Notamacropus eugenii: one gene and its partners. The protein of the gene in region 3 purifies or fractionates together with the protein of the main gene of each other region. This does not show direct contact. Links are inferred from orthologs where the notes say so. Each region holds a gene or a part of one and is shown on either strand. Other genes may lie near its edges. The genes, in order: SMG7, UPF3B, UPF1 and SLBP.

The links.
Region 1: the proteins of UPF1 (region 3) and SMG7 purify together in Homo sapiens (affinity purification with western blotting; 7 studies listed by BioGRID and IntAct, with this or other methods). This does not show direct contact. The link is inferred for Notamacropus eugenii from reciprocal best matches to the Homo sapiens genes UPF1 and SMG7.
Region 2: the proteins of UPF1 (region 3) and UPF3B purify together in Homo sapiens (co-immunoprecipitation; 16 studies listed by BioGRID and IntAct, with this or other methods). This does not show direct contact. The link is inferred for Notamacropus eugenii from reciprocal best matches to the Homo sapiens genes UPF1 and UPF3B.
Region 4: the proteins of UPF1 (region 3) and SLBP purify together in Homo sapiens (affinity purification with western blotting; 4 studies listed by BioGRID and IntAct, with this or other methods). This does not show direct contact. The link is inferred for Notamacropus eugenii from reciprocal best matches to the Homo sapiens genes UPF1 and SLBP.

Annotation. Positions count from the first base shown.
Region 1 is NC_092873.1:461,640,751-461,647,752, reverse strand, and holds the start of SMG7 (nonsense-mediated mRNA decay factor SMG7), read left to right. Parts: upstream 1-3,990; 5' UTR 3,991-6,813; coding exon of another isoform or gene 6,814-6,842; intron 6,843-7,002. UniProt on the Homo sapiens protein: Plays a role in nonsense-mediated mRNA decay. Recruits UPF1 to cytoplasmic mRNA decay bodies.
Region 2 is NC_092879.1:43,539,068-43,546,532, reverse strand, and holds the start of UPF3B (regulator of nonsense transcripts 3B), read left to right. Parts: upstream 1-4,444; 5' UTR 4,445-4,527; coding exon 4,528-4,923; intron 4,924-6,828; coding exon 6,829-6,935; intron 6,936-7,115; coding exon 7,116-7,222; intron 7,223-7,465. UniProt on the Homo sapiens protein: Involved in nonsense-mediated decay (NMD) of mRNAs containing premature stop codons by associating with the nuclear exon junction complex (EJC) and serving as link between the EJC core and NMD machinery.
Region 3 is NC_092875.1:66,552,546-66,560,142, reverse strand, and holds the start of UPF1 (regulator of nonsense transcripts 1), read left to right. Parts: upstream 1-4,594; 5' UTR 4,595-4,765; coding exon 4,766-4,999; intron 5,000-7,597. UniProt on the Homo sapiens protein: RNA-dependent helicase required for nonsense-mediated decay (NMD) of aberrant mRNAs containing premature stop codons and modulates the expression level of normal mRNAs.
Region 4 is NC_092877.1:50,014,950-50,022,250, reverse strand, and holds the start of SLBP (histone RNA hairpin-binding protein), read left to right. Parts: upstream 1-4,287; 5' UTR 4,288-4,444; coding exon 4,445-4,518; intron 4,519-5,740; coding exon 5,741-5,908; intron 5,909-7,301. UniProt on the Homo sapiens protein: RNA-binding protein involved in the histone pre-mRNA processing.

The DNA of each region.
Region 1 (7,002 bases), on a different chromosome or scaffold from region 3:
TAACCATTCATATTATCCCAAATGCTAAGCACATTCCCAGGGGTCATATAATAATAGTTCACCTTCCTTCCAAAAATCAGAAAGTAGGGGAGAGAAAAATACTTTTAGCTTGGTTGCATTCTAGGCCAAAGTAATTTATGTGTTATGGGTAATTCAGTATAGCAATTTGTTATAAATGCAGAGTGACTAGTAATTGACAGAATTTGAAAATACACTGACAGGCTAGAGTATTCATTAGGCTGAATCTATAAGGAAGATATTCAGTAAGGATAAATGTAAAATCTTATACTTGGGTTGTAAAGAATCAGCTTAAAAAATATACCTTTAACCCACTCCTCTCCCCCCACTAGAACCTTCCTTATGAGATTACCTTTAATTTATGTTGTAGATAGCTAGCTAGCTAGATCATGTTATATACACAGTTATTTTCATGTGAGGGTAGGGACTGCATTTTTACTTTCTTTGTAGGCCTAATACTTAGAATACCACCTAGCACATAGAAAGCAATTACTAAATGCTTTTTGATTAATAGGATGGGACTTTTCTGTCTGAAAAAGATCTGGGAGTTGTGATGAACTGAAAATTCAATATAATTCAGCAATGTAATTGGGGTAGTCAAAGAAAATGCTAATAGGGTCTTGGGTTTCATTAAGAGAGGCCTAGCTCCCAGGGAAAAGATATGATGGTATCCTACTCTTTGCTCCTGGTCACACTACATCTGGGGCATTTGCTCAGTTATGGTCCTACAGATTGTCGGACACTGATAAACTGGAGAGTTTATCCAAAAACATGAAAGTCCTTGGGTTCATGTCATATGAGAATTGAAGGAATGGAGAGGATGTTGAGCCTGGAGAAAAGAAGACTAGTAGAAACATTATAGATGTCTTCAAGTATTCAAAGAACTGCCATGAGGAAGAAGGATTGGCTGATTCTTCTATTTGGCTCTCAAGGGCAGAATCAGGAACAGTGGGAGAAAATTGGAGAAAGGTAGATTTCAGAAGGAAAAAAGTTTCTAACAAGACCTATCTAAAGATGTAATCCAATTGGCTACATTAGGATGGTTGCCCCTCATTGAAGATCTAGCTCACTCATCAGGTAGATTATGGCGGGAATTCCTTTTTATTACTGGTTGGACTGGATGATGGCTGGTACTTTTACCGACTCTAAAATGAATATGATTTTGCCATTTTTCCATCTAGGTCTCTGGTTTACGGATCTAAATCCCCTTGGCTGAGTTGGCAGATAAAGGTGTGGACACCAGAGCTTACCCTAGGCAAACCTGTAAATTAAACAAAGTTTGCCCTAGTGGTCTTCTACCTGCTCAATCAATAACCTTTACTTCTTTCTAGGAGCTTGGCTGTGTCCCAATATCGCTAAGCAATTAGTTGTTAACAAAGTTAACTGATTAGCACCCAAAGTTTGATCTTAGTTATATCAAAATATTAAAAAGGGATTGTAGTAAGACTGGTAAAGCTTGCTTTGACATCCTTTTTGGGGGAGTGAAACTGTGGAGATTGTATGTGCAGATTCCAGCAAACATTTGAGGAAATCTCCTTATAAAATGTGCTTCTGGATAAAATGGACATGGGCTAGATCAGGGGTGGGGAACCTTCTAAGTCCTCAGGTGCAGACTTTTGACTGAGTCCAAGTTTTACAGAACAAATTGTTTTATTAAGGAGATTTGTTCTGTGAAGTTTGGATTCAGTTAAATGGCTGCACTTGAGGATCTAGAAGGCCACATGTGGCCTTGAGGCTGCAAGTTCCCCACTCCTGGCAGGATCATAGTCTGGTAAAGCAGATTTGGACCTAAAATGCCTTTCCTCTCCCCCAATTAGAATTGCATATTCTGGGGATGGGTAGTGGGAGTGGGTGTTTGAGACAGACAAATGTTTCTTAGGAATCAGTGAACAAACATTTAGCAGAGCACCTCAGAACAATTGTTGACTCTAACCTAGTTCAGTAACCTGGAGAGCAAGATCCTCCCAGTTCAAAATTGTTTTGTCATTGGGTTGCTATTTGAACCAGAATGAATCATTTATTCACCCAGCTGAATCATTTAATCTCTTCTGAGTTTCACACATAGGACAGGAAAGATAATACTGATTCTCCTTGGGTGTAAAAGTCTACCAGATGACCTTTTCTGTGATTGTCATTGTGCTGACTGTATCAAGTCCCCAAACATTGTAGAGCCTTCTGCAATGGGGCTGTAATCACCCAAAGTTTGTTTGGTCTGCACAGGAAAGACCAAGAAAATGAAGAATGTCTATTGTCCAGATTTCAACATGAATTTGGATGGACAACCAATAGAGTCTGTCCACCAGTATGAATATTTGGGACAGACAGTACAGATGGATTGTACAGATGACTTTGAGTCAGGCACAAAATTGAGTAGGAGGATGGCGGCTGGCTGTATTGCCTCCAAGAAACCACAAAGCTCCTTTACTGATCCCAAGCTTCCCATGAAAGCAAAGGCCCTTGTTCTGAATACCACTACTGGTATCGATATACAGCAGCAAAGCATGGAACACAACTGTTTCTGAAGAATAAAAATGACTACTGTACAGACGTTGATGGAAAGGCATGTAGTACAAGCTTCAGAACATAACTAAGTAGGAATTTCAAAGAAGGAGTAAAAGACTTCATCAAAGAACTGTGTAGTAGGAAGAGAAGATCACATAGTGATGAGGAATGACATGTAAAACATCCAGAGTGCTCCACTGGCACCTTTAAAATGTCAAGAGAAATTGATGAAAGCCTCCTACTAGGTGGACCTCCTGGTAAATTTACAGGAGGTTATGGACAAGAGTCACACCGAGCAAGCATTAAATGGGGTTGATATTTGCATAGAAATGATGCTAGCTCACAGACATCTTTGAAAATCTGAGAATGTACAGCTTGTTTCATCCTTTCCCTCTGGGGTTCTTTGATGACTTAAAATCTTAATTTCTTAACAAACAGGCCTGTAGTACCAGCCCACCACCATCCAGGCTCCCAAAGATAGTCTAAGTTACTTCCCAGGAAAAGAATGCATAAACACCTACTTGAAACAGGCCACACTCGCCAGCTGAGTTGAAAGGATGGATTCTGTGACTCTGTGGTTTCAGCGACAGGCATGCATAATTCCATAATCATTGTCATCATCCAGATTAAAAATAATTAAGCACTGAAATGCACTTGAGCTTTGTAAACATTAAATCTATGTAGATCAAATATTGTAATGAATTATTACTTCGTAAAATTTCATACAGGTCAGTTTGATGAGAGAGATAAAAGCAAGAACTTCAGGAAGTTTGGTGGGTGGCTAAAAAGTGTGTACACTATTTACTTGGCTTGGCGAAGATTTGTGGATTTTAATAATAGTCACAATAGTGAAGGATTCCAAAATGTACAAGACCTTTAAAATCTTATTTCTAATGTCCTAACATTATAATGGTTTACGTAGTCACAACTGTGGGCACAGAAGCCTACCTTCTGACTCTAATGGGAATGGTGATTAGGGTTTGTGAGGAGGTTTCTTGGGAGGATTGTGGAAATAATCCATGCACAGCACTTTTTTTTTTCTTTTGAGGGGAAATGCAAAGTGGTGGAGTTCCAAATGCTTCGTGATTCTGAAATTTTAAGTGGTAGAGAGCCCAACTATTATGTATAACTTGATACAAAGCATTAAAAAGTGAACAATTTTTGCATTAAGAAACCTAAAATACATTCTCAATGCTCTCCTCCGGAAAATATGCACATATTCAAGGACTCAACAAAATCATGGAAGGCCTAAAGGAAATTGAAGGGCCTCTTCTTTTTGTTATCTGGTGGCTCCAGTTTAGTGTCTAGAACCAGTTGCATATAATGAAGGCTGGTGGGAATTTGTGATTGAAGGGAAAAACAAAACATCTCTCTTGATGAAAGGTGCTTATATAAGTTCAACATATTTACTGATGGAATACACAGTAGGAAACAGGATTAAAAAATAAGGATGAAGACAAGAGATAATTTGTGCATTGTAGATTTTTTTATTAGCAAAGAACTGGAAACAAAGTATATGTCTGTCAATTGGGAAATGGCTAAAACTAACTGTGGTGTATAAATGTAATGGATTATTAGAATCATTGATTTAGAGACAGAAGTTACCTTGGATATTAGTGAGTTCAACTCTCTTATGTAACAAAGGAGGAAACGGAGGCTGAGTTGAGAGTAAACTTACCCTGAATCACAGAGCTAGTGTCTGAAGTAGTAGTTGAACTCCCATCCTAAATTCAGTTTGCTTCCTTTCCTGCCAGGCTCCATACCACCTTGCTAGCTTCCCTCCTGCACTGTCAGAAACAATGAGTATGAAAGACAAGAACTGATTTAAAGTGAACAGAACACTAATGTAAATGAAAAATAAATGCAACTTTATGTTATGAAATTACAATGACAAGTTGACCCCAAAGAGATCTGAGAGGACATTTCCCCTCTCTTCTTTTGCAGAAGGAGCAGCCTGTTGGTATGAGAAACTGTATCTAATGTTAGACTTGATGTGTTAGGTTAGTTTCACTGAATTTTTCCCTGCCTTTTCTTTATTCTTTGTTATAGTAAAAACAAAAACAAAATATTTAAAAGCAATTTGCCAGGGTAACTCTTTAGTACTCACAGAATTCATTTTGTACTTCATGATTTACAAAATATTTTTTACAATACAATTATTAATAGTAAAATACAGGGATGAAATAAAGTTACTTTATAGAAACGTATTGATTCTCTCACAGTGCATGCACCAGGCGAAAGCTGCCTCACTAGATGGCTCTCTTCCCTGTTGAGTCAGCGTGAGTCAGTGCCCAAGTGTGGTGGCAGGGGGCACTGTACTGCTGAAAATCGTCTCAGATGACAAGCAAAACTTAGGTCATCGCGGGCGTGGTAGTCCCAGGAAATGCCCCGACAATACATTTCTATCAGTACTAGGACCTAGTTAAATTGATTTCATAAATTGCGTCGCGAATTCTTCTTTCAAAATTGTACTTGGATTTTTTTTGCTAGTCCAAATTACTTGCATGTTTGGACTTTAAACAGATGGGACATTTTCTTTTAGTGGACCAGGAAGTGAAGGATCTTGGAAACGTTCCTTCAGCTAGTAGGACAATGACAGAACAACAAAGATGATTAGTGTCCCGGTAGTTTCCTCCCGAGAAGGGCAAGTAAGTATGAGTCCCCTAAAAGCACATGCAGAGTCTAGGCAAGATGGAAAATCAATAATCCAGCGATTCCTTGCTCCTCTTGCTACTTTTCCCCTCCAGCATAGTACCACCGACTTGGGTCCTTCTTTCGGCGGCTTTTCAGGACCCAGTACCGAGGGCGAGATGACTTAAAACAAAAACCCCGACATCCCTTCCCCAGACCTTCTGCTCCGGGGCCTCGATCCCAAGGCCGACTGGATACTTTTTTGGCGCCGCGCTTCGATACATTGTGACTTCTCCTCCAATCCGGGCCGACCCTCGAGAGCCGGAGGACACGCGGGCGCCCCCAGCGATGACTTTGACCTTGATCGCTGCCCCCGCGCGGGGCGGCCCACGACCGACCCTCCGCCACTCTTAAAGGCCCCGCTTTTTATAAAGATCTACTGTCACTAAGATTTCCCGGACCCGAGGGGCCGGGGGCAGCTCCACGTGCCAGGGGGGGGGCTCCCTCCTCCCCACCCCCAACGCCTCGCAAGCCGCAGCCATGCAGGGATCCCGCCTCTCGCAGGCCGGCTCCGGGAAAGCCCTCGGTCTTCCCCGGAGCTGCCGCCGCCTCGCCCCGCCCCTGCCTGCGGGCGCTTAGAGGACTAGGGGGTCGCCCCGGCCGCGGAAAGGACTTGGGGAGATCAGGCACGGGGATTCCCGAGGGACCGACCCTGCAGACAAGGCGGAAGAACTCGGGGAAAGCAGAGGGCGGCCGCGGGCGTCTTCCCCGGAACCTGTTCGCCTCGGGAAGGGTCCCCCTCTCCCCTCGCCTCACACACTGGTTACCATGGCAATACCACCGCAGCTGCGCGTCGCCATGGCAGCCGCTCCTCCAATCCCATTGGTTTCGTTTCCTTTCCTGCCGGGCTCCCCACCCCCTCTAACAGTCCCTCCGCGTGCAGGGGGAGGGGCCGGGGAGAGGAGGCGGAGGGGTCCCTCGCGTCACTCCCTAGCGCGCGAGGGGAAGAATAGCGTCGGGGGACCGGCCGACGGAACTGTAGGAAGAAGAGGAGGCGTTTCCGGTGGGGAAGAGTGTGGGAGTGGAAGTAGGAAGCCAGTTTGGGCTGCGGTGAAGAGAAAGACGGGGGAAGGTTTTGAGTGTAACTCCAGTTTGTTTCGGGTTCGATGTTCCCGGAGCGGCTGGGGTTGCCCCTTCCCGCTGGAAGCGGGAGGAAGACAAAACCCAAAGTGATCAAGCACCACTAGCAGGCCACTGAGAAGCCGCAACTGCAGTACACGCCCGGACGCTCCCGAAGTCTCTCCAGAAGGGCGGAAATCAGGCGGTGGGACCGGGGCGGCCGAAGTCTCGCGAGAGCGGCTCCCTCCGATTTCCTTCCTCTTCCCCAGTCCTCCCGCCCCCTTCCGAGGACCCTCCCCCCTCCCCCTCCTGGGTCGTAGTGTCCCTGCGCCCCACGGGCCGGAGCGGCAGCGAGAGCAGCTTCACCCGCTCCCTCCCCCACCCCCCCCTCACCGCCTTACTCACCACCCCCCTCCCGCCGGGCGAGGAGGAGCCGGAGGAGAGGAAGATGGCGGCCGCCGCCAGCACCAGCGGTACCGCGGGGCCGCTCCGAGGAGCCTGAGAGACCCACGGACGCTTCGCGGGGAGACGCGGCGGCGGAGGATGAGCCTGCAGAGCGCGCAGTATCTCCGGTGAGAGCCGGGGCCGGGCACTGGCCCGGAGGGAGCTGCTGGGGGGGATGGGGAGTTCCTGTGCGGGGCTGGGGGAGCCCCGGCCGGCCCCCCCAGGGGTGGGGGCCCCTGGGGAAGGTGGCGGCTGCGGCGGCTCGGGGGCCCGACCTGGGGCGTGGGG
Region 2 (7,465 bases), on a different chromosome or scaffold from region 3:
TTGGAATGCTTGGTACCCATTCTGGCTAAACTGGAGTAGTGTGGGAGAGGCTTGGAGTGCCTGGAGCCCATGAGGTACCATACTAAACTGGAATGGGGCATGGGAAGGGGGAGAAATAGGTATAGGGAGGAGGGAAGGCTTGGATTGCTTGGTACCCATTCTTCCTAAAGTGGGATAGGGCAGGGGAGGCTTGGATTGCCTGGTGTCCATGAGGTACCAGACTAAGCTGGAATGGGGGGGGGGGGTAGGCATAGGGAGGAGGGAAGGCTTGGATTGCTTGGTCCCCATTCTGGCTAAACTGGGGTAGTGTGAGGGGGGCTTGGATTGCCTGGTGCCCATGAGGTACCAGACTAAGCTGGAATGGGGGGGGATAGTGAGGAGGGAAGGCTTGGATTGCTTGGTACCCATTCTGCCTAAAGTGGGATAGGGCAGGGGAGGCTTGGATTGCCTGGTGTCCATGAGGTACCAGACTAAGCTGGAATGGGGAGGGGGGGTAGGTATAGGGAGGAGGGAAGGCTTGGATTGCTTGGTCCCCATTCTGGCTAAACTGGGGTAGTGTGAGGGGGGCTTGGATTGCCTGGTGCCCATGAGGTACCAGACTAAGCTGGAATGGGGGGGGATAGTGAGGAGGGAAGGCTTGAATTGCTTGGTACCCATTCTGGCTAAACTGGAATAGAGGGAGAGGCTTGGGTTGCATGGTGTCCATGAGATACCAGACTGAACTGGAATGGGGGGGGGCGGATAGGGAGGAGGGAAAGCTTGGATTGTTTGGTACCCATTCTGGCTAAACCGGGGTAGTGTGGGGGAGGCTTGGAGTGCCTGGAGCCCATGAGGTACCATACTAAACTGGAATGGGGCGTGGGAGGGGGGAGAAATAGGTATAGGGAGGAGGGAAGGCTTGGATTGCTTGGTACCCATTCTGCCTAAAGTGGGATAGGGCAGGGGAGGCTTGGATTGCCTGGTGCCCATGAGGTACCAGACTAAGCTGGAATGGGGAGGGGGGGTAGGCATAGGGAGGAGGGAAGGCTTGGATTGCTTGGTACCCATTCTGGCTAAACTGGAATAGAGGGAGAGGCTTGGGTTGCGTGGTGTCCATGAGATACCAGACTGAACTGGAATGGGGGGAGCGGATAGGGAAGAGGGAAAGCTTGGATTATTTGGTACCCATTCTGGCTAAACCAGGGTAGTGTGGGGGAGGCTTGGATTGCCTGGTGCCCATAAAGATTTCTAGCTAAACTGGGGTGGAAATGGAGAATGGGGAGGCTTAAATTGCCTGGTATCCATGGGTTACCAAGCCAACCTGGGAGAGAGTAGTGGGGGAGGTTTGAATCCAGGGTTCAAAGTAATCTGCTACTTGACTAATGTGCCAGAAGGATCTGGGGTACACTTTGAAGGAGCTCTTAAGGGTGTTGTAATAAACGAATAAAACATTTAAGAACTACTATGTACAAAGCACTAAGGACATATAGAAAAGACAGTCAGTGGAGGAGATAACACATGAAAGTTTTCAGCTGCAAGTCCAAAGATAAAGTCCCATGGTCCTTAGGGTGCAGCAGCAATGCAGATGGTGATTAATAAAGGCTTTTGTCCTGTTTCTTGGATGAGGACCTCCATACTGGGACACCTCTTTAGGACCATAGATCTAGAGTTGAAAGGGACTTTAGAGGCCACTTACTCCAACCCTCTCCTTTTAAAGAGGAGGAAACTGAGGTACAGGGATATTAAATGACTTGCCCACCCTCATACAAGTATTATCTATCACTGGCAATATTTTAACTTCTATCCATTCTATCTATATATTCATTCTTTAGAAGTAGAGTGGTTATAGAAGTGTGCTGCTTTCTTTAATGAAGGAATGAATGAATAAATGTTAAGTACCTGCTAAGTGCTAAAGGTAAAATACTAAACCTAGGCAGTCTGCCCTCTAAGGAGTGGTCTATTGAACTATTCATTGTTCTCTTGACACCTTTGCTTCAAAAATACATGAGACTCTTCTTTCACTATCAGCAGTAAATATAAAGCATGCCCTATTGTCCCTAGTGTGAGGACCTCTTGAAAGACCTGAAGGATTCATTTAGGGAGACAGGTTTGGGGAATTTATCTTGTGAACATCCCTTCTGAATTGTGAACTCCTAGAATGAAAGGTCTTCTGTTTTCTTAGTAACCATGATGAACATTGCCTGACTGATTAGCATTTAATCTGGTTATATTAGGTGACTGGTATTCATTCCCATTGCTGGATTGGTGCAGATCGTTACAGTGCACAGAACTGCTGGACTTTTCATTATAAATGTACTTCTGTAGCCAACTGTCTACAGTGACTTCTTTTGGAAATGACATTTTATGTGGAGGTGATGAAACACTGTCAGGTTATAAATTCATCTAAGTACTATTAATAGACTAGAATCAACTTTTTTCTATACAAATTACTGCCACATCTCTTTCTCTGGCCCTAACCTTAGTGCCAGTCATATATCTGCCTATTGTCTAGTAAACATTTTTACATAAATTAATTCTTCAGCAGCATCAAACTGAAGGTTTCATTCATCTTCCCAAATTAATCTTTTGACCTACTGAGCAGAGCTATTGCAAGAAATGAGTCAATAATCAACAAAATAAGATACCAACATATCTTGAAGTCCTGAAGGCAATACATTTACACTTTTTTACTTACAACATATCTTTATGAAGCCTCAAGATCATGAATTTATACTTTTTACTTCAAGTTGTATTTTAAAATAGTGATGAGGGATCTGCCAGATTGGCTGAAGCTGTCCTGGAGCCTAATTTCATCTGACTCACAGGCAAGTACTAACATCTGTCTCTATTTGTAGATACTTCCTACCTGTGTGGCCCTGAACAAGTCACTTAACCTGCCTCAGTTTCCTCCTCAGTAAAATGGAGATAATATCTACCTCTCAGAGTTGTTGTGAAAGTAAATTTTAAAGCACTTTGGTAGCTCTTATCATTTTTAGAGGGGAGGGAACGGATACTCAGGGCAAACATCTATCAAAATGTTGAAAGCAGAACTAAAATCTAAGTCTTCTAGCCCCATTAAAAAATTTTTTTTTTGCTCAATAGTTTTACAAACTATTTCTTTTCCCAAATTTATTAATTTATTTGTTTTCAGTTTTCAACATTCACTTCCATAAGTTTCGAATTTTCTTCCCCTCTCCAAGATGGTATGCAATCTATTATAGCTCTACACATACATTCCCATTAAACACATTTTCACATTAGTCATGTTGCATAGAAGAATTACAGCGAATGGGAGAAACCATGAGAAAGACAAAACATAACAGGAGAAAATAGTCTGCTTCATTCTGCATTTCGACTCCATAGTTCTTTCTCTGGATGTGAATGGCATTTTGCATCGTGAGTCCTTTGGAAATGCTTTAGGTCCTTGCATCGCAGAGAAGGGCTAAGTTCATCAAAGTCAGTCTTCTCTCACAGCCCCATATTTACTTAGTACTACAACTAAGTCAGCAATTTGGGAATTTGCATTTATAGTGTTATTCAATTAAATATTGAATGAAACAATGATCCAGGATTACCAGTCATTTTGGTTAGCCAGGAAGCTTTGCAAGCCGAGTGGAAACTGGTTTTAAGTCAACAAGTGATTGTTTAGTGTTCACTACGTGCCAGGCGCTGTGCTAAGCTGGGCAGCTAGGTAAGTGCACTGCATAGAGCTGGACTGGGAAAGCAATGGCAAACCCCTGCAGTAGGTTTACCAAGAATCCCCCAAATGGCGTCACGAAGAGTCGGAAACGACTGAACAACACTAACTAGACGCTAGATACAAGGACACGAGAAGGGAACGGTTGAAACAGCCAAGGACCTCAAGGAGGTTGTTTTTTATCCGGGAGAGACGCATTAATGTAACAAGAAAAGAAATATTGAGGAAATTGGAAGTGAGGATGGGGTTGGAATGTATTAAAGACCTGAGGGGCAGTCAGGGCAAAGATAGGAGATGGGAGATTAGAATGTAGTTTGAGTGACAGCGAGTGGAACGACTTAGGGACATGATCCGCAGAAGGATCGAGGGTAAGCAACAGGGCCATCTCCATAACCTAGGCTTTCCTATCAGTTTAAGGCGCTAAAGAGTGAAACCGAACTCCCTCAGTGGAGTCCCTAGGCTCCAGAAGCAACTTGCAGTTGGCATGCTGAGTTTTGTAGTTCTCAAGGCGATCAAAGTGAAATTGATTCTGGCAGAAAGGGGGCGGGGCTGACCAGTGACGGCTAAGAACAGCCCCGGGCGGCGCCTTGAGCCTAGCTGGGAAATGGGCCGCGAGCGGCCTCGGGTGGGTTCCGATGGAAATGCTAGGGTGTTGCCAGTCCCTTACCGACCTGGCGGGGGGGGGTGGGGGGTGGGGTGACATAGGCGACCTAGCATCTCGCGCGATCGTAGTTCACTGCGCCACGATTGCGGGTTGGACCTAGAGGATTTAATGGGAGGAGCTGCAAATTCGGGGTGGGGCGGGCTTATGGTGATGACATCCTGACGCTACCTTGGGTATAGGCTGGGCCATGAAAGAGGATAAGGAGAAAGCGAGGCCCAAGGAGAAGCGGCCGCCCTCGTTTTCAGTCTCGTCTGCAGCAGCGACAGCAGCAGCAGCAGCAGAGACAGCGGCGGCGGCGGTCACCACAGCAGCAGTCACCGCAGCGGCGGCAGCGGTAACTGCAGCCTCTGTCCCAGCCCCGGCCCCGGCCCCGGCCCCAGCCCCAGCCCCAGCCCCAGCCTCAGCCTCAGCCTCAGCCTCGGCCCCAGCCCCAGCTCCAACCCCGGCCCCAGCCCCATCCCCAGCTCCAGCCCCAGCTCCAGCGGCAGCTAGCGCAAGCTTCAGCGGCGGCCCGGTGGACAGCGCCAAGACCCAGGAGAGAAAGGCCGAGCGATTCAAAGAGAAGAAGGAGATGCTGAGCAAGGTGCGGGTGGCACGTACGGGTTCCTTCTCTGAATCAGCTGCCCGGCACGAGGCCGCGCCTGCCCCTTCCTTTCCCTTCCCCCCCTCCCCCCCGTCCCAGGACCCCCGAAAGGCTCGCGCTGCCAAAGATCCAAAACCGGACACGAATTGTGTCGGGGGAGAAGGCAGCTGGGGGAGGGGAGGCAATGAAAGAGTTAATGGGGCAGCAGAGAGCGGAAGGAGGGAAAGGGGGGGAAAGGGGGGAAGGGGGATGGGAGACTGCGACTGCAGGAGAGGCAAGCTTGGGGTGGTGCCCATTAGGGTGGAGAGAGCCCAGAGGGCCAGAAGCAGTGGGAAGGGGGGAGGGGGAACAGCGGGGTGGGGGAGGGAGGAGAGGGGAGCAGGTAGGGTGGGGGAAGGGTTCGGAGACGGGAGCTGGGAGAGGGGCGGGGATGGTGGAGGAAGGGACGGAAATGGCAGAAAGGGGATGAGGATCGACGAGGGCGGGGAACGCAAAGGGGAGCAGTGCAAGGGAGTAGGGAAGGGGGGATCAATGAGGGTGGAGAGGGGAGCAGGTAAGGTGGGGGGAGGGCAGAGGGGGAAAAGCTGAGGACTTGGAGGGCGGGGCAGAGAGGGGAGGGGGAAAAGCAAGGGATTGAGGAGAGAAGGAATGGAGGAAGGGAGGGGGAAAGGGAGAGTGGAGATGGGGAGGACCCTTCCCACCTTACTCTCTCCCTCCCTTCCTGGAAATACCTAATCTCACCCACTGAGGATGAGCCCCCACCTTGGCTAGCGACCCCCCTCCTCTCGAACGAAGCCCTCCCCTTCGGAGAAATGCAGTTCACATGCGCAGAGCTGCCTTTGGCTTGCAGGGTGGAGATTGGAGATGGTGGAGAGGGCTTGGGTGGTTTTGCCGATCAATCTGGTCTTGTGAGAACTGCAGAGAACTTGGGTTTGGGGAGTGGATTCTTATTGTAAGTTTTAGTGGACACACCCGAAAGCCCGGGGTAGCTACTGGCTGCTTCCGTATGATATTTTAAAAGAAAAATAAATCGCAGACCTTGTGCTGGGCTCCGGCTGACTAGCTGTTGCCTATGGCAGGTCAAAATCTGTTTTTCTCTTCTGTAAAACGAAGTCACTTAGTCCAGTCTCCTCGTTTGCAGTCAAGGAAACTGAGACCCAAAGGGGGGAAGAGACTTGGTCAAGGTCGTGCAAGTTGAAAGTGATGGAACTGGGCCAAATTCAGTGACCTTTCCACTTTACCTACCATGAAGCCTTCCACTACATACTGGACTAGGAATTAGGAGAACTAGATTTAATCTTTAATTACTAGTTGTGTCCATAGGCCAATCACTTTACCCCCTCTGAATTTCAATCTGTTGTTCACTTACATCATAAAGGAGGCAGACCCAGGTTAACAATCCCTTTCCAACCCTAATGATCCATGTCTGAGTAAGCCTCTGAGTTACGTCACCTGTAAAGTGGGCATAATGGTGTTTGAATTCCCCTTCCTCCCAAGGTTGTTGTGAGACACAAATAATATGAAGATATAAAATGTCTTTTCTTGTCATCATAAAATGCTATCTAAAAATATAAGCAATTGCTATTTAAAATAAGCCTTACCAATAAGTAAGGATCAGTCTGCAATAGTCTAAGTGAATGCATATTTTTAAAATAAGCTTGAACTTTGAGAATTAGTACTGGACAGGAGGAAAATTCCTGTCCTTGGCACGTAATCTTAGCATGTGAAACTTGGTTAAAGTAACCTTGCTGGAAGTTACAGAGTTGCTGTTTTTGAACCAGCAAGAAACAAAGTGAAAGATGCACCAAGAAGTGAAATCATTGGGCTGAGCAAAAACCAGGACTGACCTAATCATCAGGAGATGGGGAATTAATGCAGTTCATTCTTTTTCCTTCTTGTGTCAAGGTGATCATTCGGAGGTTGCCTCCTACTTTGACCAAGGAACAGCTTGAAGAACACCTTCAACCTCTGCCTGAACATGATTATTTTGAGTTCTTTGCAAATGATTCTAGGTAAAAAAAAAAAAACCAAAACAATTCTTTTGGTTGTTTTTTAAGGCTTCATCAGTGCTTGTCTTGCAAATGCTCCTCGTTATATGTTGGGGTCTAATCTCCCTATAGAACTAATGTGCATATATGCAACTCAGCAAGGGGCCTTCAAGCACATTTACATTTTGTTCTTTCTTTCTGCAGTTTGTATCCTCATATGTTTTCTAGAGCATACATCAACTTTAAAAACCAGGAGGACATTGTTTTGTTCAGGGATCGCTTTGATGGTTACGTTTTCGTTGATCATAAAGGTGAGTCCTGGCAAAGAGGGCCTTTGATATCTACTTGCCTTAGAAACATGGTGTATCCTGTGTACACACCACGCTCCCAGATCTTCAAAGCTCTTGTGTGTGATTAGCACGAATTTTGATTCAGGCTCTAACCTTTAGGCATCCTTGCAAATAAGTATAATGCCTTGATATCAAAGGCAGTACAAGTGGGTGAAATTTGGTGCTGGATTTGGATTGAGGAAGATTTGGGTTTACATTCTGCCT
Region 3 (7,597 bases):
TCACATCTCTAGAGCTCAAGTCATTGCCAAATGTCCAGTGAACATCTCAGGAAAATCAGAATTTGAATACTACTTCAGACTCTGTCTCAGTTTGCTCATCTACAAAATGGGGCTAACTACTACTACTACTACTACTACTACTACTACTACTTCATAGGGTTGTTGTGAGGTTGAAATGAGATAATACATGGAAAGTGTTTTGTAAATCTTAAAGCACTTTAAATATTAGCCATTATTATTATGACTACATCCACACCTCAAAATTAACTTGTTTAAACCTGAAATCATCTTCCCATGCTACAGTGTCCTCCAGAGGTATCGATCATGAGGCCCTGATGCAGTTGAACTCCAGTTCAAATGTATTCGGGAAATAGTTAACAAAATAAATAAAAATACGATAAAATACAATATTCCATTTTGTGGTTGGTATGTTGTTCCAGTCATGTCGGACCCCATTTGGGGTTTTCTTGGTAGAGATACTACAATGGCTTTGCCATTTCCTTCTCTACCTTATTTTGCAGATGAGGAAACTGAGGCAAGCAGGGTTAAGTGATTTGCCCAGGGTCACACAGTTAGTAAATTTCTGAGGCCAGATTTGAATTCAGGAAGATGAGTCTTCCTGACTGCAGGCCCAGCACTCTATCCACTGTGGCACCATACATAATGTTAATATGTGGTTTTCTAAGTCAACCTTCTATAGGGTTTACTGGCCCCAATTCTCTTTGTGTTTGATACCAGTGGTGAATGGAGGACTTCTGTTTGAATCTTGCCTCTGACATTTTCCAGCTTTGTGAGTATGAACTAATCACTTTTTTCTTTCACCTTCCATTTCCTCATCTCTCAAATGGGGATAATAACCCCGTCTACCCCACAGGACTGGTGGGAGGTGCAAATGGGAAAAGGTACATGGAAAGTGCTTTGGAAATTGCAAAAAGCTTTAAATCTGTTATTATTATCATGATATCTGTAGTGAGTGCCCTCTGTAAATCCTATAGAACCACACAAACATCAGTTATCATCCCAATACTTTGCAAACATTGAAGTGCTTCATGTCAGCTATTATATTATTATTTCTCCAAGCCTGCTCAACTCCCCTTTGGGGGCATAGGATGTTCCCAAGCTCCATCCTCCAGACTGGCAGCTTCCGCATCCTCTTGGGCGTTCTTCTTTGTTCCTGACCCCACCCAACATCCAGACAGTTGCTTTGCTGCTCATCCCTCCTGGCCTCTCTCTGCCTCTCAGTTTGCCTGGTCTTCTTCAAAACTCAGTTCCAATCCTACCTTTGCCAAGAGGCCTCTTTCCCTGTCCCTCCAGCCGCTAGTGCCTTCTCTCTGAGATCACCTTCCATCCACATTGTCCAGTATATATCCTGCACATTCATGGTAGTTTTCTTATTGTCACCTCAAGTCAAATCAGAACCGTTGAGGGTGGTGGATTGCAGTTAATTGAGGTGGATTGTGATTAATTCCATTTTTTTTCCCTCCTTAATGCTTAACACAGATTATGCATTTAATACTTGTTTAGGGGCAGCCAGATGGTGCAGTAGATAGGATGTGGCCTCAGACACTTGCTAACTATGTGACCCTGGGTAAGTCACTTAACCCTGATTGCCATAAATAAGCAAATAAATGCTTGCTTATTGGACTGACTACGTCTCTCAAATCTGCTCCTTTCTATCTAATCAAATGGCCAACACCATTCTAACGCAAGTCCTAACCAAGTCTCTTATTTTATTTCCTTGCTTCTAGTCTAGCTTGCCTCTATCCCACACTTTACACAGCTGCCAAAATAATCCTCTAGTCACTCCCCTTTCTCAAAATCCTGCCATGACTCCCTATTGCCTCTAGAAGAAAATATTAAACTCCTCATAATCTGGCTCCAGCTAACTTTTCCAGTCTTATGGCCCATCATTCCCCTTCATGAATTCAATGCAATAGCTAAAGTGTTGTTCTGTCAGTCACTTCCAATTCTTAGTGACACTGTGCACCATACTGTCCATGGGGTTTTCTTGGCAAAGATACTGGAACGGTTTGCCATTTCCTTCTCCAGTTATAGCTAAACTAGATTATGGCAGAATCTAGTATCTCTCCCTGGCTATCTTCTGTGTATGAAGTGCAGCGGAGAGAGCACTGAAATGGAATCAGGAAATTCTGAGGTCAAATTTGGCCTCAGATACTGACCAGCTGTGGAACTTTGGCAAGTCATTTAACCTGTTTGCCTCAGTTTCCACATCTGTAAAAATGGAGATAATAATAGCAATTACTTCCCAGAGGTGCAAGATAATAAAATAAATAAGGATAAAATAAGTTCATATTTGTGAAGCTCTGTAAACTTTAAAGTACTATAAATGCTACCTATAATTATTATTATTATGTCTTTCTAAATTCTTCTCTTCCTTCAATGGTGACCTTAGGTGCTACCATTTTTAAGTAACCTTTCCTTAATCCTCTCCTCATTCAATCCTTCCCACTCAGATTTTCTGAGAGTACTTTGGATGGATCTCTTTTGGTTTTGTTTTGCCTCTCTTGGGTCCATGTTACATCCTTACCTTTGCCCCCCACCCAGTAGAATATTCTCCTTGAGGCAGGGTCTCCTGTCATTTTTATAGTATTTATCTCACCAACATCCACTTCAGGGTTTTGCACTGGTCGGTACCTCCCCCAAATCTTTGTTGAATGAATGAATGAATGAGGAAGTTGCTGTGAGGCAGATTTCAGCTAGATGTAAGAAAAAGTTTCCTGACCATTAGGGCCATTCCAAAGTTGAATGGGTTAGCAGAGGCTGAAAGGTTGCTTGTTGGCCATGGTGCAGAGGGGAATCTTGTTCAAGTATGGTTGAACATAATGCTATAAAGGTCTGTTCCAGCTCTGAGAACCTGTGATTCTGTGGAAAAGAGAGAGGAGATAGCAGGAGGAGAGTAGAACCTGGGCAAATCTTAATGTGCATAATCTCTGATGCATCCATCACCCACAAGCAGGGAACCTTGGTGTTGAAAGCAGCCCTCTAGTCCAAGTCATGTCCCCTATGGCAGGGGTGGCTTGAAGACCTTTCAGGTACAGGACATCACTCTTGAGAGGCCATGCACTTCCCTAGGAGAAGGCTGTCATATAGTCTCTTGTAGTTTGTGGGTGTCCACCAGACTTGGAGCTCCCTGGCCAGGAGGCCAGTATCTCACTGTCCTGGGTTGTGATCCCACGCCATCTGCCACGCGTGGGGGCACGTTTCAGGAAAGGCATGGCCAACCTGGAAAGACCCGAAGGAGGGCTGGCAGGGTAGCGACGGTGGCTGGAGAATTCCTACGGACGGATCCGAGCGGTGTTCAGCCTGGAGGGTGCCAGTATCCGAGGAGCTCCTGGGCAGAGGAGGGGGGCTGCCTTGAAGTCCATTTCCAAAGTTCCTCAGAAGAAGGCTGCCCCAAAGGGACAAGGGCCGCTGTGTCCTGGGGTGGCCGGCCCCTTCCTGCCCCGAAGCCTGCAGGCAAAGTTTGGATGACCATTTGACCGGTACGTGGTAGACGAAAGAAAGGAAAAACTGGCCACATCTCTGAGGTTCTTTTCCAGCACAGAGATTCTGAGGGTCTGGGTCCGATCCCGACTTCAAGTGTGGGCAGGCCCCGCACACACCAGGAGCCCCATGATTGCGGATGACACTGCCAGGATAGCGCCGGGGAGTCACAAAGCCTCGGGCTTCACAACCACCGGGTGTGACACGCGGAGCAGAGCCGAGCCCGGGGGCTTGCGGGCCGGGCAGACCCCGCCCCGTCCCCGCCCCACGCGCCCAAAGGTCTGCAGACGTCTTAACAGCTCTGCCGGCAATCCCCCCACGAGGCAAGCGGTGGCAAGGGTCAGCCTCGGGCTGCAGGGTCAGGCCCTCTACTTTAGGCTGAGTCTCAGTTTCCTCATCTGTACAATGGGGATCACAAAGAAACGGAAGCGGAGGGCCGCCCGGCTCCGCCCCCACCGCCTAGGCGTGGGGCCGAGCTGGAGTCGCGAGCTCCGGGAGGGCGGGGCCGGGAGGGCGGTGTCGAGGGCGCGCCGGGGCGGATGGGCGGGAATCCCCTTTCGCGGGGGGACGAGCCCTGCAGCTCCCCCTGGTATCCCGCCGCCCAAGAGGGGGCGCACGAGCCCAGCAGGCCGTAGACGTTCAACGACCCGCTGGCCCCGATTGGGACTGAGGGAGGGGAGGAGGGAGAGGGAGAGCGACAGGAGTCACGTGCTGGGCGGCCGTTGGACGCCCAACGTCCGCCCCTCGGGTTCCCCCCGCCCCCTCCGCGGGGGTGGGGAGATCAGAGGGCGGGCCCCACCCACGCGTTGGCTCCGCCTCCCTCCTTCTCCCGCCCTCCGCGCCTCGTGCGCTCTGCGTGCCTCGTCAGCACGCTCTCGGCGTCCTCTCCGAGGGAGGCGGGGACTGAAGGGAGCGAGCGGAGTCCCGACCTAAGCGGGGGGTTGGTGGGGGCAGTGTCGGGCACGCGCGCGGCGGCGGCGGTTCCTGGTTTAGCGTGTAGATTATATAGGAAGAGGAGGAGGCTCGGGAGGGAGGCTTTGAGGCGAGGCCCTGGTCGGGGTCGCGGCGCGCGCGCTCTCGCGGCGGGTCGGTTCGGTTCGGGCGGCGGGCGCGGCCAGGCCTTGGGCGCGCGGGTTCCGAGGTAGGCGCGAGGCCGCGGGCGGAGCCGGGCCCTCGAGTGCGAGACCAGGCCGGAGCCGGCGAGGCGAGGCGAGGCGGAGCGGCGGCGGCAGCAGGCCAGGCCCCGGGCGGCGGCGGCGCCATGAGCGTGGAGGCGTACGGGCCCAGCTCGCAGACCCTCACCTTCCTGGACACTGAGGAGGCCGAGCTGCTGGGCGCCGACACCCAGGGCTCCGAGTTCGAGTTCACCGACTTCACCCTCCCCAGCCAGACCCAGACGCCCCCCGGAGGGCCTGGCGGCGGCGGCGGAGGCGGTGGCGCGGGAGGGCCGGGAGCCGCGGGCGTCGGGGGAGCCGCGGGCCAGCTCGACGCGCAGGTGAGGAGGGCTGGGGCCCTGCCCCTCCGGCGGAGCTCGGGGGGCTGCCCCCTCCCCGCCTCGGGGGCCGGGTGGCGAGGAGGAAGTGACTCGCCCCGGGGGTAGGTAGGAAGTGGAGCCCGAGCCTGCCGCCACCCCCTGCGGGGGAGATCTGGCCCTTTGGGGAGTTCGGATCCTCCCCCTCCTACACTTTCGCTGTGGGGGAGGGGCTGCCCTTAGAGAAGGGGCGTCATTTGGGGTGGGGGGGCACCAATCCCAGGACTCCGCAGCCTTTTCGGGGGAAGTGCAGCTGACAGATTTCCTTCCTCTCGGAGGCCAGGGGGGCTCCCTTGGTTTCTGAAAAATCCGACTGGGTCGGGGTGCAAGGGGCTTCCTGCCCCCCAGCTCCCCACCTGTTCTTGCTCCACTTTGAAAATGTGAACCTGGCAAAGATGGTTTGCTTTGAGCCAGGTATCTGTTACTCTCTCTTTCCAGGAAACTGAATTTTACCAGGCCCGGGATGTGCAGGGGACACAGCTTGGTGTTCAGATCGGAATTTTTTTTTCCCCCTCACATCGTAGAAGTACTGTTGTCTTTTTAAATGTGTGTGGGACTTCCTACTTTTAATTACAAGTGATTTCTTATACAGGGTCTTAGCAAGGTTCAAATACACATGTTAGTGGCAGGTCGTTTTTCTCTTCCTATTGGCTTTACCTTGTTGAAAACTTTAACCCTTTATGAAAGCAACAGGTATCGTAACTTTCACTTTTATGAAATACTTTAGAACAGATACGCTTCCTGCTACCTGGATATGGATCTCTTTCTTCCTGAGTACAGCCATCTGTTCTTATCTGATTGGCCCAGTCCTGTCTTTGTTTGGTCGTTACCTGACTCCTAATAGCTGTGTGACCCTAAGCGAATTAATCTCTTTGAGCCTCAGTTTACTTATCTGTAAAATGAAACTAATATTTGACCTACATACGTAGCATGTTAGTGAAGAAATCTCTTTGTGAGCCTTAAAGGGCTACAAAAATAAATATTTCCAACATTTTGAGTAAGAGCTGGAAGCTTTTCTCTTTTTCTTTTTTTTTCTTTTAAACCAAAGTTGAGTTCTCTTGAGGTTGACAAGGGGCCTGAGCTTCCCAGAGATGAAGTGATGTGCTCATTGTACTTTAGGGATTGAGCATAGTGGAACCTTTTGGATCCAGATCTTTCTCAATTCAAGGCTCTTTTTGTTACATCATACTGCTTTACAACATTATTTCTTTAAAGGTGGCAAGTTGGTGGGTGGAGCATCTGGTTTGAACAGGTGTGCAAACATGTTCTGCCTTTTTGCAGGTACTGAAGGAGGATTTGCCTAAAGAACTTGGGAACCAGAGAGAAGGATAGTAGAAATTTCTAACACTAGTATCAGTGCTCTGTAAAACATCATGTCTGTATATCAAATAAACCAAAACAATCACATATATGTAGGTACTTTCACATGTAATATGTAGCAAATATGTCAGATTGTACTCAGTGAAAATCTAATTTATAATTAGCCGTGATGCTCTTTGTAGAGAGGAGAGGAGAGGAAGGAGCTGGGTGGCATTTTGTCTACTTATATAGTGCTTTACAATTCACATGGTTTTTGTTAAGAAACACAGTAGTTTAGATTATAAATGGCAGCTGATAGTTTGTAGAAACTACCTTGATGGAAGTGTATTCTTGGGTAACATGAGTAGTTTACCTGTGCTTCACAGCCAATATGTCTAAAGTAACTTTGGGTGGTGGCAGTGTTGTCCAGTTTATAGGTTTTGTTGCTGATAGCTTGATAGCTCAGAAAGCTCCTGTTTGGTTTGTCATCAGCTGGTAGTAGTTGTTTGTCCTTTGAAATAATGGTTATTTTCATAAAGACTAACATTTCATTTTAGGTGAGCAGAACTTGTCATTAAGGTGACTACCGAAGTAAAACTTGATGTTATTGTTAGCAGAAATTTCTTCTGCATTTATACAATGCAAAGGTACCTCTCCTTCAATTTTCTATCCCTATTTAAGGAGAAAAGGTGAAGATTTAGTTTTTTTGTAGAGGAGATGAGGACCTTGATTGATAGGGATATGGAGAAGCAGGGTCAGTTTTGAAAAGATCTATCCCCAAGGTGCATTCAGGATCAGTATGTCTTTTGTAGTAATTGATGTCACCAGGTACTTCAAAACACTTGGGAGCTATTTATCTTACCTGAATTTCGGAGCTAGTGATGTAATCAACTGTAAGAAAGGAGATCCTAAACTAGAAACCATTGAGCTTTTTTTTGAGAAATGATTCAGGATTTTAAAAGGGGGGTGATTTTTATGATTTTGACACTTTTGAATAATAAAAAGAGGGTAAAATTCTTTATCATTTGAAGTGCTGGGTTTTGGTTTTTTTTACATTACCTTTGACTTTGCCTGTTAGAATCATCAAATATTAGAACTAGAAGATGATCTTTAGGTGATCCAATCCAACTCCCTGGTTTTGTAGATGGAGAAACACCCAGAGAGGGTGAGTGACTGACGAGAAAAATCTAACTTATTTCTCCTGACCTCCAGTCTAGTTTTTAATCATATGGTTTTATTATTATTTTTTTTAAAGACAAACTT
Region 4 (7,301 bases), on a different chromosome or scaffold from region 3:
CTTCTCCTCGGTTATCATAACCTTAGAGAACTCGAGTTTACCTCCAGACCATAGGGAAGCCCAGGAGGAGACTGTCAGTGTATCACAAAACAATGGCCAGCAAAACTGGGGATTTGTTTATGCATATTTGTTATAAAGGTTTCTTTTTCTTTTCCCTCTGCTGGGGATTGGGGAATGTTGTGGGAGAAAATAAATGCTTGGGTTTTTTTTTTAATTCATTTTAAAAAGAACACATGAATGTAAAAATTAAATAACAGCAAAAAGAAACAAACCAATAAGCAAAGGTGAACATTACTAAATATTTGAGAATACAACTTCTGCAGAAAATAGATCTTTTTTTAAAATGAAGACAAAGTTGAAACAACCAACCGAAGCAATCCGATCACAATAAATTTGATCCTACTAACAATGAATGCAATAAAGGTGTATACCTATACATAAGGATACACACATGCACACATGTCATATATTATAATATATATCATACACTAATATATACATATATGTATATGTATATTACACAAATGAAGTCAAATTTTAGTCAGGGGATTTCTCCATCACTTGCTCCCTCCTTCCCTATTTTCTCCCCCCTTTTCTTTTCCTTTACTTTTCCACCCCTACACTCTTTTCAACTTCCTTTTGTGTGTTTTCTTCCCCTCCTTGAGGGCAGAGACTGTCTACTTTTTTTCCTGTTTGTTTGCCTGCTTAGAACAGTACCAAGCACATAGTAGGCACTTCATAAATGTTTGTTGACTGACTGATCGACCTGACAGGCAGGGTGATCTACCACTGTTCACAGAAGCCTATGACACAGAGGTCCGAATTTGTGAAGAGAGCCAAGGCAAAGTTAAGCGCTCTTCTTGGGGTTTTTTTGTGTGTTTGCCCTTCATTCTCAAAGAGGATCATGACATCAAGGTGATGACATGACTTGCAGTTGACTGATTTGAGGGAGGGAGGGCTGTGCAAGGTCACCAACCTCACTTTCTTCTCCTGAGCCATCTGGGTGCAGTGGCCTGAAATTCCTCAGGATGGCTGGAGATGGCCCAGGATGCAATGTGAGACCCTGGCCCTTTCTGGCTAAGTCTTATCACATTCTCACTTTGAGTGAGATACACCCATTCAATGAATAGGCTTCTTTAAGTAGTTACTCAAGGGATGACCTCTTTAATAAAAAAAAAAAAAATCAAACTGGGTGGAGAAGACCCTCAGGGTTCCTGGAAGTTAAGAGGACCATAATATTTGTTATATTTCACAATGTCATTCATTTGAGCAAACAGTATAAGTTGGTTTCAAAGAAAACTCACAATTTTTAAAAATTGAATTAACTTAGGAGCGAGAATGGGTAATCCTCTGAAATGGTCAACAATGACATTTAAGTTTAATTCCATTAAATATTTCATCATCTGTAATTTTTTTAAAAAGTGAAATAATATCCTTCCTTAATGGATACAAGAGGAAATCCAATGGAGCAGCTGAACTACTACAATTCAAGTGGATTAAAGACAGTTTAAATACCCAGGACACATGCAAAGAAGAGAAAATCTGACACTTCTGATGAGCAGCCTTTTTCGAAAGCCTTGTCTGTAAGATGCAAAGAAACATTTGCCTCTTAAACGGTTGCTTACAGAATGGTTAGATATAAAAGTATTCCCTCATTACAAAGGGAAAATGTTGGTGTTGCCCATGGTGGGAGGTGAATCATATGGCTTCCTCATGTCTCCTGAAACTTGAATATCTGATGAATAATTTTTGAAAAAACTTAGCGCTCTAACTAAATCAATGCAAGGTCTTTCCTCAAATTTATACTCTGATCTAAAATGGTTAAGTGACTAAATTTATGAAGAAGTGAAACCTCTGGTTATTAAGTTGGCAAAATGACATTTTTGATATGTTTCTCATGTTAGGAACTACATACCTCACACATAAAATAGAAGGAAGTAAAGCTATGTTTGCTCGCCATTTGACTCTATTCTCATTTTTTAAAATTTTAAAATAATATTGCATATTTCCCAATTACACGTAGAGAGAATGTTTAGCATCCCTTTGAGGTTTCACATTTTCTCCTGTTCTTTCCTCTCTCCTCCCCCTTCTGTAACACAGTAAACAATCTGACACAGGGTATACGTGCGCAATGGTCATTTTATTTTAAAGATGTAGACACTTCCGAATGTGAAGGCATAAGGATCTCATCCGCCATGAACAAACACGATACCTTTGCTCTGACTTCACCAGAACGAGCACGGCTAATCGATATGTCGAAACAAACATTTAGATTTAGACTGTTTGGGGTTTTGGCTCCAGCTGGATAAAGATCTTTCCGTTCCGTCAGACAAAGCCGCCACTCAGGCTGATTGGTAGGCAACGTGGGCTCCTACTGCGGCTGCGGGAAAGACAAACGCTCCGCTTTGAAAGGCCTGACAACGGAATCCCCAGCAGCGCGGCCCGCGAGGAGGCTTGGCGCGGAACGAGGCCTCCCGCCGAGACGCTGTGGCGGCCAGCATCTTCGTGCGTTACGGGCGCTACCTGTCTGCGGGTGAATAAATGACTGTCCAGTTATCTGTGCTTTAGATGTGCGTGCGGTGAAACCGCGATCACCTCCTCACCTCAACAAAAGACAAATAAAACCATTCACCTGAGACGATTTTGTGAAAGCGCGAACATCGTTGTACAAGAGAGTACTCAGTGTCAGCCAAAGCCCCTGGTGGTGGCGCGGCGCACGCGCACGGCAGAGCGCCTGCAGCGCATGCGCGCGCAGCTGTGCGCTGTTGTCTTCCTCATCCTCGGAGGTTCTAGAAGACTGCGGTTACTGGGGGGTTTGGGGGGGTGCTCGCACTTCTCCTTGTCCTCTGTGCCCATCACAGTGACGGGCAGATGACAGGCTGAGTGGGCTGTTGACCCGGGGTGTATAAAGTCAGCTCTGGCCCCACGGCCCGCTTTCACACCAGCTTGGGCGGTGCAGAGCGGCCGGCTTCGCGTGCCCCGGTCACAGGCGAGGCCCATGCACGTGCCCGGCCACCTCCGGCCAACGGGGCTGGCACTGGCCGTCCCTGGGAGAGGCTTCGGGGCAAGAGGGTGGGCACCACCGGGCACCACGGCCCACCGGCCGGGGAGGGGTCCCAGCTCCGGCCCCTCCAGGAAGCCTCCGCTCTTTGGGCGGCTGGTGGCCCTGCTGACTCAGGGAGCGGGGAGGCCAAGCAGCAGCCGCTGCTCGTTCGGCGCCCAGGGGGCATTGTGCCCTTATTAAGGGCTTACTGTGTGCAACACACAGACAGACGCCGGCCCGACCTCGAAGAGCTCGCTCACCTTCAAAGGCTGAGGCCAAGGTTTCAGCGGCACGCCGGAAGGAAAGGGCCCCGCCTTATCACAGCAGGGGGTGATGGCTTCTTTAATGGTTTTGGACCCTTGGACGCTGCCCTGGGCTGGAAGCACCAATCCCAGTGTCTGGCACACAGTAGGTACTTAATAGATGTTGATTGGTCATTGATTGATTGTGGATTGATCTAGTGGTCAAGATGTGTGTGTGTGGGGGGGTGCTTCCTGTCCGAGCTAGGCCAGGGGCCCGAAGGCTCGGGGCACCTGGATTGACTGAGTGACCTTGGACAAGTCATCTCTCTCGGCACGAGTTTCTCCATGGGTTAAACGAGACTGGACTGGACGGTCTGTAAGCTATGATCTGGACCTCTCTAAGCGGGATACAGTCAGGAGGTCACTGGGCTTGGAATGGAACGGAGCTGAAGTGAATTGGGTTCTCTCCATCTCTCCTCCCGGCCCAGAGCTTCCAAAGATCGGTCTTTTTCTGCGTCCCCGCCCTGAGATGACGGAATTGATTCGGCCCAATCAGCCATGAGCATGAGCCCTCATTTCCCCATTTCCCCGCCCCCTCCTCCTCCCCGCCTTAATCTTCGCTCTCGGCTTCAGAATTTCCCGCCAACACCCCTCCCCAGCCCGCGCAGAAGGAGCCAATGAGAGCCTGCGGCGCGCTGATCTGCCGCCCGGACTTCTTCTGGGTCGAACTAATTCGGAATTAGGGGGAGATTTTGCTTGCGCCTTTCCCAAACCCACCTGTGGGGGCTCGTTTATCCTCCTATACATCTGCGTGCCCTTTTTCCTATTACGTTTTTGCCCCGACGTTAATTGGAAATTCCCTCGTCCTTTTTACCGGATCGAAACTTAGTGCCCTCTTTTCCAGACTCCCCGCCTCCTCCTGACCACGCTTCGATGGTTCGTCCCAGGCTCGCGAGAGGCGGTGGAGGGGGTGGGGGAGGGGTGGGGCAGAAGGCTTATAAAAAGCCGTTGGAGGAAGTCGCCACTCGCGCGCGAAATCAGTCTGCGCCGGTGCAGCGGCTTTGGAGCAGCTCCTCTGCTCGACGTTAAGGAAGGGAACGTCCAGACGGGACTTCTACTCTCGCCAGAGCTCGTCCCCCACCCAGCCGCACACCTGATCATGGATTGCCGGCAGCCGAGTCCTCGCAGTGCCGGGACGAGCCCAGGGCATGGCTGCTGGGGCGGCGACAGCGGGTAAGTCGGGCGACGACGGGCGGACGCCTTCGCCGTCTAGTCTGGGCTAGCGGCGGGCCCGGGCCTTAGTGCGCCTGCGCGGCGGCCCCGGCTCCACCTTCTTGCTCCCCGGGATGCGGGTGGCGGGAAAAGACGCCTTCACGCCGGGAAGGATGCGTGTTAGGAAGGGCCTGGGGGGGGGGGGGGGGGAGCTTGGGATGAGGAATTTGGCCATCGATGTCTGAGTGGGAGCTTCCCGAGGCCCTCTTTGTAGCCCACGTTCCCGAGGGGCCCGCCGGGGCCGGCCTTGGTGAAGAAGGAACCGAGGCGCGCAGGGGGGGAGGGGCGGGCCCCGGGACCCCAACCTCCTTAAAATCATCTTATCCTGTTTCAAAATTGCCGGTACTGAGCCATTGAGATGTGGGGGGGAGGGGTACTCTGAGTGTTGCGTACGAGTGTCGGGGAGTGTCGTGTTCTCTGTAATACACCCGCTTCTCCCCCAAAAAAGGATTTTATTTAGAGAACCTGGGCTTTCTTACTAGCGAAGTCACTTTTCCAGGTCCAAATTAGAATTTCTTTAATTTGTTAAATCAGATTAATTTGGCAGAACTGGAATTGGAATCCTGTGCTCCTGAAAATCAATTTTACATCGTTTCAGTCATTTTTAAAATGAATAATTTGGATTAATTGGCATAGCTGGAATTAGAATCCTGTGTGCTTGAAAATGTGCCTTCCATTGCGCCAGTCTGCTGCTCTCATTTGCACCACCCCCATAAAGGGGGGAGGGTTTTTGTAATCTGCCATTTTACAAATGAAAAAATGTGGGAGAAATAATGTCCCCGAGGAAGCAGCTGAACGTTCTTGCTGCTTCACCAACTGGATGTTGGCCCTGAGGTTGAAAGGGGGGGGGGGGGTGAACACGCAAACCAAGAGGTGCGCTTCTATCCAAAGGATGCCCTTCCATGTGTGCCCCAAATTAAGTTATTAGGCCAAAAACCCAACCTCATGGAAATTTTAGGGCTGAAAGGGATACTACTATAGTCTACATTGATGCTTTATCTTAGATGAGGAAACAAACTGAAACCCAGAGCCCTGAATTGACTAATCGAAAGTCACAGGGAGCCAAGTTTAGAACCTGGTTCTTCTGTTTCCTAGGCTAGTACTTTTACTTTTATCTAATCTCCAGAGCACCTCCTAATTTAGAAGAGATCAGCTAGTAAGTCTAACTTTTTCTCTTTCCTAGCACACTTTCTCCATCCCCATCCCGGTGGTCTCTTGGACGCAAAAGACGATTGGATGGAAGGCACAGAAAACCAGAAAATGTTGAGTCATCTCTGTTTGTTGAAGATGAGTCCAAATCTAGACATGCAGAAGAAAAGGAATGTCGAAATTCAGACAACAGGCTTGAAAGGTGCGAGAAACATACTTTGCCATGGGGGTCTGTTTTCTTTGTGCAAGTTGTGACTGGCAGTCATGAGGGTTTTGTGAAAATTATGTAGTCAGATCAAATTATTTATTATTTGATCCCATTTGGGAGAAATGAGACCCAAAATGTGATAGCTGAAAAGAGGAGGTATCTATCTAGGCCATGGGAAAATTTGAAGGGAAACGTCATACTTCTATTTTTACTAATTGGTCTTCATTTTATGAAAAAGTTGTGTGGTTTATTTAGTTGGCATATTCGAAACAAACCTTATTATTGGTTTCCATTTCCTAGAGTATTTGCTTTCTACTTGGGGAAAAGGTAGTGCTTAATTTGGGAGATGTACTTGAACACATCTCAACCTTTATCCATGTTTGCATACTCTGACAAATATATGGAGAGTTAGGATTTAAACTTGGTTAGAAGTATATGATCCCAATTCATAGAAACCTGGAGAGGCTGGGTTGAATTTACCACTGTGGGAACACTAGTGAGACTGGACCCAGCAAGGGTCATTCTGACATGAACCCATTATAGAATCCATGTTCCCTGGTGCCCGTGTCATTCTTAAATATCATTGACCTAAAGAAGTAATACACTATATTATGTCATGTGTTTTTGTATCCAGTGGATCTGTAATATCATGGATGTGGGTGTTCCTGCCAACAGCAGCACTTACTGCATCACATCTCAATCTGCCCTTTCTGTGCAGCTTCTGTCCAGGTCTTTCCATAAGCTTAGTCTATATTAGGACCTTTTAGCATTTCCAAAAATATATTTTGGACAAATTTTTTTTAAAACCCTAAAATTCAAATTGTTGCAGGAAAATGTCTAGTCACTTAAATTAGGTGTGAAAAATTATCTTGCTATCTGTGGGTTATGCTTTAGTTGATTAAAAATTTTACTACCTAATGTAAGTTTTAACAAAAAGCATTTGGAAATTTAACAGTTAAGAAAATGGGTACAGAATTCTCCAGGTTTTAAAATGATTGAACTTTTTGTTCATATATTTGAGGCTAATTAATTTGTATTGCTAAACCCAGGATTGCCTATTAAGAGCATACTGTAGACAATGAGACCATTGATAAGATAAGTTGATAAAACTGTGGGATTTATGTTTGTGTCTGTGGTTTGGCTTTCGGTTAGCTTTTTAGAAGATGTGAACATTTGTTTCTCCAGGATTGAGTCTCAATATTTCGAGGAGACTGAATGCTGTTAGCCAGTTTGATAACAATAGCGAGCTTTTATTTGTGCTTTAAGATTTGCAACATACTTTGCAAATGTAATTCATTTCATTTGATCCTCAGAATTACCCTGGGAGATAGATGTTATCTCCATTTTACTGATGAGGAAACTGGGGCAGATTGAGATTGTGACTTGC